Neurospora crassa OR74A: one gene and its partners. Each later gene encodes a partner of the first gene's protein in a complex. Links are inferred from orthologs where the notes say so. Each region holds a gene or a part of one and is shown on either strand. Other genes may lie near its edges.

Evidence for each region.
Region 2: NCU07386 (region 1) and NCU03343 share a complex: the UniProt entries of both Schizosaccharomyces pombe proteins name them as parts of the mitochondrial small ribosomal subunit. The link is inferred for Neurospora crassa OR74A from reciprocal best matches to the Schizosaccharomyces pombe genes SPOM_SPBC16A3.14 and rsm25.
Region 3: NCU07386 (region 1) and NCU09539 share a complex: the UniProt entries of both Schizosaccharomyces pombe proteins name them as parts of the mitochondrial small ribosomal subunit. The link is inferred for Neurospora crassa OR74A from reciprocal best matches to the Schizosaccharomyces pombe genes SPOM_SPBC16A3.14 and sws2.

The regions. Positions count from the first base shown.
Region 1 is NC_026501.1:6,129,419-6,133,401, forward strand, and holds NCU07386 (Fe superoxide dismutase), read right to left. Parts: upstream 2,655-3,983; 5' UTR 2,385-2,654; coding exon 2,123-2,384; intron 1,742-2,122; coding exon 1,071-1,741; 3' UTR 610-1,070; downstream 1-609. Other genes in the region: NCU07385 (hypothetical protein), read right to left, coding at 3,178-3,983. UniProt on the Schizosaccharomyces pombe protein: Component of the mitochondrial ribosome (mitoribosome), a dedicated translation machinery responsible for the synthesis of mitochondrial genome-encoded proteins, including at least some of the essential transmembrane subunits of the mitochondrial respiratory chain.
Region 2 is NC_026502.1:1,034,373-1,037,807, forward strand, and holds NCU03343 (mitochondrial 37S ribosomal protein RSM25), read right to left. Parts: upstream 2,045-3,435; 5' UTR 1,705-2,044; coding exon 1,319-1,704; intron 1,229-1,318; coding exon 892-1,228; 3' UTR 711-891; downstream 1-710. Other genes in the region: NCU03344 (hypothetical protein), read left to right, coding at 1-710; NCU03342 (hypothetical protein), read left to right, coding at 2,657-3,435. UniProt on the Schizosaccharomyces pombe protein: Component of the mitochondrial ribosome (mitoribosome), a dedicated translation machinery responsible for the synthesis of mitochondrial genome-encoded proteins, including at least some of the essential transmembrane subunits of the mitochondrial respiratory chain.
Region 3 is NC_026505.1:4,525,994-4,529,194, forward strand, and holds NCU09539 (putative mitochondrial 37S ribosomal protein SWS2), read right to left. Parts: upstream 1,754-3,201; 5' UTR 1,595-1,753; coding exon 1,592-1,594; intron 1,526-1,591; coding exon 1,481-1,525; intron 1,397-1,480; coding exon 1,085-1,396; 3' UTR 621-1,084; downstream 1-620. Other genes in the region: NCU09538 (microsomal dipeptidase), read left to right, coding at 1-588; NCU09540 (hypothetical protein), read left to right, coding at 1,958-3,201. UniProt on the Schizosaccharomyces pombe protein: Component of the mitochondrial ribosome (mitoribosome), a dedicated translation machinery responsible for the synthesis of mitochondrial genome-encoded proteins, including at least some of the essential transmembrane subunits of the mitochondrial respiratory chain.

The DNA of each region.
Region 1 (3,983 bases):
CATTACACATCGATTGAGTGACCGTGAGTGAGTAAAGCCAGTTCGAACCAAATCTTTGACCGGATCCAACGTACGGAGTCCCAATGCGAGACATGACATGGCATGGCATGGCATGGCAATCGAGACACCGATACACTCACTCTGCCGTCCTTCACCGGTGCTCGGTTTACGTACCTACTTTTAGTAGCTACCGCGCTGAAACGAACCAGTGAGGTCTCGGCCAGGCAAATCTGATAACCTAACAGTCAATAGTCAAGATTCAGTTTGTCACCGATCACTCGGCATGGAGCCTGAGGCCTTGCGAAGGAGGAGAAATCAGAGGCTGAAACTACAAAGGTAGAAGGGCTACAACTGGCAGCGGTCAGGTATGTTTTCAACAGCTGATGTGTCGTGGTAGTTACCTAGTGAGCTGATATCGTGAAGGAAGCAGACATCATGCGGAGTAAGGAGTAGTCGGACATGTAGGTCCGTATGAGGTCCTTAGGAGATGTACTAAAAAGTTTGGTCAAGTAAGCAGAGAAGGTTGGATGTCGATGTCACAATGTGCGTCCATCTTTCAAAGTGCTATATTTACAATTTGCATTTGACCTATCCGTTTGTTGCTTCGTTGCCGTTATCCTGCTTTCCTCTTTCACACACACACACACATTTGGTTCATTGGTAATATACACATGTAAAAGTATAGATGGCAGCTGCCGGGGCTGGCTTGGTTTTTACTTTCCTTTCTCTTTTTCCGGCCGGTCTCACCGTCATGCTATCCTATCGTACAGAACAACTTTTCCCTATATATCCGGGTTCCATATAGACAGACAAAGTCACAGAAGTAACTTGGGCAGCAACCGTACAATAATCCATCTCCATCCCGTTCCACTCGCTCTTTCTACCCCTCGGACAAGGTGACAGCCGTCGGACTGTCGATGGCGGCGGCAGGCATGGACTGATGGACCAGTAGTCGCGAGTAATTCAGAACCAAAAAGTCGAGGCTTAAGCTTTCACGCTCCCGCTTCACTTCCTACTTCAATTCCTCCTCACTCCTCCCTCCTCTTCCCCCGCAGAATGGAAGCAAGAGGCTAAACAGAGCTATCACCGCCCGTCAAGATCCTAGTCTCCAGCCTGGCCTCCTCCTCGACCTTGGCCCAATCAATCATGTTCCACCAGCTCTGCGCATACGCCAGCTTACCACCCATACCACCCACACCAGTTCCGTATTCGCGAAGCCACGCGTACTCCCACGTGTTGAGGCACAAGATCGGAATCAAATCAGTGCCGCCGGGAGCCGTAGGTTCAAGCTTGTTGCCCTTGAACCCAGCTGCGCTGCGCTCGAAGAAGCGCTGGCCGTTGCTCAAGCCCTGGGGGGAGCTCCCGATGGAAGTCTGGGCGTCCATCTCCTGGCGGCGCCAGTGGGCGCCCGGGTAAGGAGAACCAGCCAAGTAGGTGGCCATGACGCGGAGGGCGACGGGCTGACCGGGAAGCTGGGTGCGGACGAGCCAGACGAAACCGGGACCGAACATGGAGACGGCGGTGCCGATCATCTCGTCGCGGAGCGTGTCGACGGAGCCGAAGTTCTCGTTGATGTGGTAAAATAGCTTGTCGCCCATCTTGACGGGGACCGGGGACAGGTGGTCGAAGAAGAAGTGGTTGTTGTGCGCCATGGAGGCGTGGTTGAACACATGGGCGAGCTCGGGGTCGCGTGCGGTGGCGAGGACGATGGACTTGGTGTCTTTTTGCTCAAAGTCGGTGCCTGTTTGACGAAAGAGAAGTAAGCAAAGTGGTTTGTCGGTTAGATATCTCCCATGCAGCAAAATAGGTGACATCATGTCTTCCCCCCCGGATAGGCAGGGCATGCTCTGGCTTGAGCTTCAATCCGAGTCCCCTTCCTTCTATTTCCTCCACCAATTCCTTTGTGGCCTAACCACTGCGCTAATGCCTCCTCTTCCTCTCAGGCTTAACAGCATCCCAGCTTGGCGTTTTCGACCAAAGGATACCAATTCCTCGCAGCCAGTAATCCTCGCACGTAACCTTCATCCATGCCATGCCGTGCTATGCCGTGCCACATGATAACGCAGCGACACCAAATTCCCCAGACGAGTATGTTCTGTGTTGCTGTGTCATCCGTACGTACCTACTACAAGCGCGTTAAGCTTCTCCAAAATGAAGGTCTGGTACTCGGTATAGGCCATGTTGACGGAGCCGGGGCTGAGGAAGTTGCGGATGCCCTCTTGCTCGAAGTTGTCGCGAAGCGGCATGAGGTAGTGCTGCCATCTCCTTTGAGCGGCGATGCTGGCGCCGGCGACGGCGGACTGGTTGGTGGCGACAGCGTTGACGGCACGGCCGAGGAGCGAGCTTGTCGCACGGGGTATCCTTAGACCCATGGAGCCGATCATTTTGTCTGTTGGGGTTTTTTTTGGTCTCTTTCTCCGCAAGAAAACGGCCCGGGGGTCGGAGGAAAGGTTCGGTGGAAGGGAAGGTCGGCCGGTCGTTCGGTCGGGGGAGATGGACGGTGGACAGTGTGTGTGGGGGGCGGACCTTGAGGACGGACGGAGACAACTTCAAGACTGGACGGGCTGCCGGCGCAGAGCGGACGCACTTCAGAACACACGGGCACTCAACCCCGGAAGACGGTCGAAGTGGGACGCGACTTTCGAGACTTTTTTTGCTCCGCTGCGGAAGGACCCGGCCATTGGAGCAGGGACCAATCGTTGGGACGAACTGGCGGCCGGCAGCCTCACCGTCCTCGCAAAGAGCCAGGTTTGACCCTAACCCTGGATGTTATTGAGAGGTACCTACCGTCCTTGGTGGGGTAGCTGTTTGCCAATTCCGGAGTTCCGTACTTGGCGTTCACATTGACTTGCGTCTTCAACCGTTTCGATGATGTACTGGTGCACAGATACTGGGCATCTTTCTCTACTTTGCTCGTGTATGTGCTATGTTCATTATCGTACTTTGACCGATATTCTGTAACGCTATTGTAAAATAATTCCGTGGACGCCGTTGCTCGAAGTCCGAACAACTAACAATAATCACGAGGCGAACTGGACGCCCTCACCGGACTTCCCCCACCAGTACTACTTGACGCCAAAAACGACCCGATGATGCAGTATCCCGAACAGAATGAGGAATATAAACAGTGAACACCGACACCCCCTTTGAATCAATTTCCCTTCCTTCCCTGGTCATTCAAACGTCGTCCTCCACCATCGCAAGAACATCAAGCTCGTTCCTGACCATCCGCTCGAACTCTTCACGACTGATGCCAGCGCCGCGTGACAGCTGGAATAGACTTCGAATCGTCCTTGAGACGTGCTGCTTAACTCCAAACTCGACTCGATCTTGCGCTTCCGCCGTTTCTTCGAGCTTGGCCACCATGCGGGATCCGTTTGAGCTGGCGCTACTGGCTGGGCGCGGATGAGCAAGGCTTTCCATCCTCTCCTCGTCCGCCTGGGACATGCGCCGGCCACTTGAGTCAGAACCGGACTTATCAGAGGGTGATCGGGATGGAACGTAACCGCCGTTGCCGTCTCCGTTTAGGCCCAATGGCGGCGGCGCTGGTGCGGACTTGATGACAGGCGGCTCATATGCCTGTTGTCTTGGCGACGGAGACCTGCGAAGGGGGAGACCATTAAGCGGTGCACCACCCCCCACAGCTCCGCCCTGGAAGGCCTCCTCGTCTGGATCATGGGGGTCCATGGCTGGCTGTACGGATTCGTATTGGGCGAAGTACGCATCTTCGGCGGACGGACTACGCTCAAAGGGATGGGGTTTTTGAGTGTTGAGGCCGGCGCCCAAGGACGGCGGCGCAGGAGAGCGGCCTTGACCGGGAGTTTGGGAAGGCGTGGCATCGTATCGGCCCCAGTAATCATCGTCGTCATCCTCTTCAACCGGTTCAGCTTGGACGGATACTTGGGCAACTGGTTTGGTTTCTGGCACAGAGATTTGTTGGGCCTTGAACGCCTTCTCTGCTTCATCGAGTGTAGCATGACCCT
Region 2 (3,435 bases), on another chromosome or scaffold:
GCAGCTGGCTCGTCCCCAGCAATACGCCCCAACCCAATGCCGCTGGCACACAAGTTCCCAACACCACCTCTCTTCCTGCTATTTACTTCACATATATACTTGGCTCTGGTGGACACACTGCTGAGATGATTGAGACCATCAAGCAGTCATTTCGCGGCCAGGCAAACATCCACCGGCGGTACATCATCTCCATCGGAGACACTTCCTCTCTCGGCAAGGCCCGCCTTCTGGAAGCGACTATCAAGGACGCCTATCCCGGAGAAGATGATCGAGCAGGCACCTCTGATATCTTCTTAATCCGCCGTGCGCGCAAGGTCCATCAACCGCTCTATACGGCACCCTTTACCTGCCTCATATCCGCCTTTCATGCCGCCAATGCCCTCACACGGATGCCCAACCCACGGTCAACAAAGGATCATGGAAAGGGATTCAGATACCCGCATGTGATTGTTACAAATGGGCCTGCCAACGGCTTTATTGTGTGTTTGGTGGCCCACTTGCTCAAGATATTCTACCTCGTACCCGAAAACAGGGCCAAGGTGGTGTACATCGAGACCTGGGCCAGGTCCAAGACGATGAGTCTGACGGGGAAGTTGTTTCTAAAAACGGGCATTGCCGATGTTGTCGGTGTGCAGCACGAGAGTCTGGCGAAAATATTCAAGGGCAGTCAGTATATCGGGCCGGTGTCTGCCGGGTTTCTTCGAAGATAGGCGACCAGGCTCCTGAATCACATGTACTTCTACAAAGTCTCTTGCCCTCTCTATATGTACAAAGAGACGTGATATTCTTACACTTGTGCACGAGTGGGCCGGCATCGTCTTTCCCCGACACGGATGGGTATCAGCCACGCTATACCACTCTGTCCCTCCCCTTTTACTCCAATTCGTTGCCTTAATTCTGCGCGAGCAGCTCGTCCTCCTCAGATTCCTCGAGCGCAGAGTTGTCGACGACATTGGTGTACATGGAAGCCCTGGCAGATTCCTGGCGGGCGATCTCGGTCGTAGCCCACTTCTTCCAACTCTCATACGTCTTGTTCTCGAGCTCCATGCCGACCGTCAGAAGGTCCTTGCCAAAGTAGCCACCAACCATGCGGGCCTCCTCGACGGCTATCCTGCGCTCCATCTGCTCCAACTGCCTCAACTTGTAGAACTCGTGGCGCGCCTTGTCGTAGGCTTCCTGCTTGGTCATGCCTTGATTCTCCATAAGCCAGAGCTGACGTTGAACGACACTATCGTTTGCGATTCGGGTTAGCATCCAATTTCCATGCCTGTCCGCCGGGCTTTTGCGCCATGTGCAATGCGCTCATCCAACAACGTACCTCTCGCCGGACAAGGGGATGCCGCGTTGCCTGAGGCCCTTGGACCAGTCAAGGAAACGGGCGTCCTTGCCATCCAACTCGATAATCATCCTAGGCCTGGCCAACTCCCAAGGGTGGTCGCGGTAGAAGTCGCGGCGCAACTCATCTTCGGGATAGACGATCTTGGTGGGCCTAAAGAGGTTGCGTGGCTTGCGCGCTCGCGGGTTCGGCGGAGAGTGCTGGATCGGATACGGTCTGGTGTTGATCTCAGCGGGAGGGATGGACTCGATGGCCTTGAGCCACAGTGGTGGGTTCCGTGGTGGCAGGCCAGAGACGATGTTGGTGGCAGCAGCCTCGCTGGCCCTCTGGTAGACCTTTGCGGCCTGGAAGATGCGCCCCTTGCCCATCTTGTCCGGTCGTCGCTGGCGGCGTTTGGGTGTTGTGGAGGGAATTACTGGTGATAATCGACGGCAGCGGTGGTGTTGGCTGAGATCAGAGGACCATTGGCGGATTCGGCGGTCCTTTCGTTCCTCAGGTACCCTCCCAAGGCAAAGGCAAGGCTACGAGGTTACGGGGTGTGTATACCTGTGTAAGGTAATAATAATACACTGCGCTGCGCTGCGTAGGCACAATGGATTCCCTCACCCGCCAAACCTATCGTTATCGCTATTTGCTTAGCTTTGTCCAAAGTGGAGCTGTGCCTTTTGGAGACAGGCACGATCCGACACGACCTTCAGTTGTTGCCGGTAACCCGCGCGACCTGCTGTCCTGCCTGCCGCGAGCGGGCGAGCAATTGGAAGGACGTGCCGGCAAAAAAAAAATAGTTCCCCGCCCCGCCATTAAGCGACCAAAGGGAAGGGAAGTACCTAGCTAGGTGCTTATCGATAACAGAAGTGGGGGTCTTGAGCCCGGCCGAGACTGGACCCTATTCCAGCTTCCCCTCTTTCGTAGAGGCAGGGGTGGGGTGTGCTCACGGCAAGGTACCTGGAGCTGTGCCTCGTCCATGTATTGTAGTGTACACCACTACACTACCCCAACTTTTTCTCAATCATCGCGTCGCTCACCCGACCCCAGTTTCCTGCCACATCCCTCCTCACTTCATGACTCGAGTTCTCCCCATTCTCCCCATACTTCCCCGCCCTCCACGAATCTGACGCCCTGACCACATCGACCTGAGTACGATCCAATTCGCCAGTAACCGCGATTGCATCGAGTGCCAATCGAGTGCGCAGCAGCCAGCAGCTTGTGATTGCGTCTTCTCTGAGCTCTTCTTCATCGAATTGCGGCCGACACTCGCGGGGAACAGGCAAGAAAAGGTTGGCTGAATGGGCAGGCCATCATGTTGGACGGCGGCAGCTCATGAAAGTCTCCAGCCGATTTGAAGGGTCGATATGCGGCACCATCTTCTTGCATCGTCCGTCGTGGAATTGGTCTGCCATTGCCGCCTCCGCAACCGCAATTGCTGCCACCAGTTCCGTGTCGCAAACCACAGCATCCATCCAGCTCGGTGACCAAGGCAGCGGACGAAGAAGACAGGTTGCGACAGCAGGCCTCGGCCCAGTACAACAACGACGGTGCTTCCACGGCAGCTGGAGCTCACAAAGTGGTGGCCTTGTCGATGGGGTCGCGAGGAGACCCATAGGCGGCTCCACCGGTTGCCCGCTACTGACCACCCCATCCCTGCGGGTAACTCCCACCAGTCTGTCCGGCACGAACAGCAGACGAGCACTCGACTCCAACTTCTTCCGCTATTCGGTCTCTGCTCCCCAAAAGCGGAGCCACACGGCGGCGGCGGCGGCGGCGGCAGCCCCGGTCCCTGACCCCGTTGCCGCAGCTGCCCCCGAACCCAGTGCCGATCAGAAGCCCGCCGACTCTGTCTTCTCGGCCCCATCCGCGCTACATGACGATCTATCGACCGAGTCCCACTCGGGCGCAAACCCACAATCACAAGAGCTGCCCGAATCCCACAGTGCGAAGCTCGGTCATCTCACCAAAGAAGAGCTGCTTGAACTGGTAGATCCCTATCATGATCTAGATGGAACGGTCGAAGACTACCTCAAGTTCATTCGCGATCCTTACATGCATAATTATGCGCCCGCTGATAGGCCCCGGTTCACCTTTGTACAAAATGAAGATGA
Region 3 (3,201 bases), on another chromosome or scaffold:
ATCGGCATGATCGTGGATCTGGCCCACACCAGCGTCGACACGATGAAGGATGTTTTGGGTGGCTCGGGCAAGGACTGGAATGGCAGCAGGGCCCCTGTCATCTTCAGCCACTCGAGCGCCTACGCGCTGTGCCCCCACCCGCGCAACGTGCCGGATGACGTCCTTCGTCTGGTCAAGGAGCGCAACTCGCTGGTTATGGTCAACTTCTCACCCGACTTTATCTCGTGCGTGGCGGCGCCGGACAGGGACGATGGGCTGCCGGATTTTTACCCGGCCAATGCGACTCTGGAGCATGTGGCTGACCATATCATTCATATTGGCGAGCTGATTGGATATGATCATGTCGGTCTGGGTAGTGACTTTGATGGGATTCCAGTCGTCCCGAAGGGACTGGAAGATGTCTCGCGCTACCCGGACTTGGTGGCCGAGCTGCTTCGACGGGGTGTTAGTGATGAGGATGTGAGCAAGGTCGTGGGCGGTAACATACTCCGCGTGTGGAGGGATGTTGAGCTCGTGGCGGCTACGATGCAAGCTGCTGGTGAGTCGGCTCTGGAGGATGATCTGCCTAACTTGATGCCCGAGGAGTAGACATCTGAATGGGCGGCACGTAGAGAAAATTACCGTGTTTCCGCAAAGTTTTGTGGCAGCGTAGATAGCTCCAAGATGAGCCTGCAGATGGCAAGCTGCTTATATAAAGACACAAGATCTGGCTAGCATATAGACTCGGGAATTGGGTATCATAAATGTCTGTCGTGATTCGAGTCAATAAGCAAAAAGTTGCCCGTGTTTTGACTTGATCCGATGAATTGCTCTACAACGCCGCGCCTGATTCCTTTTGCGTCCCAGCGTGTCTTCGTTCTGGCTTGACGTATCGTACACTGATTTTGCCTGCCTGCCTGCTCTAAAAGCTCGACAACACCCAGCCGAGCCACGTCAGGCACATCTCTTTCTTCTCTGTCCATGCGTTCGATCCCATGGTCCGACAGCTATCGAAGCAAATGTCGCGTAGCAGAATTGCTCCAGAAATATCCAGACGTCATGGTATTCTCCAAGGTTCCCGTCACCATTACCGTCATCGACTCGCTCAACCGTGGCGCTCGATCTTGTTGAGCTTCCTGGCGTTGGCGATCTGGTTCCTCGTCTGCTGACCGCGCACGGGCAGACCCATGGCATGGCGACGACCGCGGTAGGTACCCATATCACGGAGGCGCTTGATGTTGTCCAGCACCAGCCTCCTGGCGTCGTTCTCGATTGTCATGGTCGACAGTTCGGCCGTCAGGGCAGTGACGATCTTGGGCGGGAGGGTGCCCATCTTCGCGCGCGGGTGGATCGAATACTTTGCGAGAATGCGGGCAGAGGCCTGCTGGCCTAGGCCGTAGAAGCTCTCGAGAGCTTTCTGTGGTTCGCAAGTGGAAGGTTAACCAGGGTGATTCTTGGAGCGCAGAGGAGGACGAGGACGAGGACGAGGAGGAGAGCGCACCTGGACGAGCTTGTGCTCATTGAAGTTGACTCCCAGGATGAACACCTAGCAATAAAATGTTAGAACTTTTGGACAAATATTCCCGGAAATCGCAGAGGCCGTTGTAGGTACCATCTTGTTAGCCGACGATAAGTCACCTTGTCGCAATGGGCATAACTCGGTTCAGGAATCGCGGAGGAGTCTCGACTCTCAGCTCTCAGCAACCCGCAACCCGCGATTTGGAACCGGGCGTGCAGACTTGCCGGGCAGGCGGCGGATCGTGGGGGAGCCCGCATTGGCCGGTGCAAATCCGCAGCGGAGCATTTGGGGTGCGGGACAGCTGGCATCCCATGCTCCGCCAGCTGTCGCCATAAAGGTTATACACATGCGATTGTACCTCATGCATACACTTTACCGTATGAGTCTTGCGAAAAGAAAGCCAAAATTTCATGGCGATGTGCCAAAAATGCAGATGAACAACCACTCACCATACACATCATGACGATCGACTTTACTGCGAGGCCAGAAAAGCCTCTTCCATACTCGGATGATTTTTCATCTGCAGACCAATATGTCGACAGTCTGCTGGACTTTGCGACCAATTCCCACCTTTTCCAGTTTCTCTGTGGTGGTGTCCACATTCTTGACTTCTTCACCAGCGAGCCCGGCCTATTTGTCTCTGCCGTTCCCAAGGAATGGCAGGAGTACCTGGTGCAGACCGAGCCCATGGTCCTTTTGGATTTCTTGATGAGAGATGATCTTGACACACTTGCCGCGCAAACTGGCCCGGGACAGCCTCCCGAGACGCTGGTTCAATATGTCAAGGATATCAGGAAACTTTCTTTACGACGCTCCTTCCAGCCCAGCAAGCCAAAACTACCGGTGCTTCCTCGGCAGGTAGCTTTGGGAATGAACACCAAGAAAGTTCACGAAGTCACTCACTTTTCCGGATACATCGACAGGCTCTCGGAGGACGTCGCTCGGGTGAGGGGACAGGAACTGACGCACTTGGTAGACTTTGGCAGTGGCCAGAATTATCTAGGCCGCGCTCTGGCGAGTCCTCCGTACAACAAGCATATTGTTGCCGTGGAGAGCAAGGAGGCCAACACAGCAGGCGCTAAGGATCTCGATATCTTGTCCGGTCTAGCTGAGCGGGAGAAGAGAATCCGCAACAAGAAGCTCTACCACCGCATTATGGAAAGTGTAGATCCGTCAGAAGCCAACGATGAAGAGGCACTGAAGCGCGCCGCAAAGGCACTGGGTGTGACAGACGAAGATATTGCTACCATTGATCTCCGATCGAGAAAGGAGCTTCAGGCCACTTATGCGCGGGAGGAAGGAAAGGGCAGCATTGAGTACGTCGTTGCCAAGTTGGGAGATGCCGACTTGGCCCCTGTGATCTCCCAGCTGGAGTACACGGAAACTCACAGCGAGGATGATCTCAGCATGATGGCTGTGTCCATCCACTCATGTGGCAACCTCTCTCACTACGGCATCCGGTCCATGGTCCTCAACTCGTCTATCCACGCCGTTGCAATCGTGGGTTGCTGCTACAACCTTCTCACCGAAAAACTGGGTCCTCCGACTTTCAAGCCTTGCTTCAGTCGGCCAACCCTTCAGCCATTGAATGCTCGTGTTGTTAGGGAGTCCGAGAGACGAGATCCCCAGGGTTTCCCCATGAGTGAGAAACTCTCCACCTACAATGACCAAGGCATCCGACTCAACATTACAGCGCGTATGAT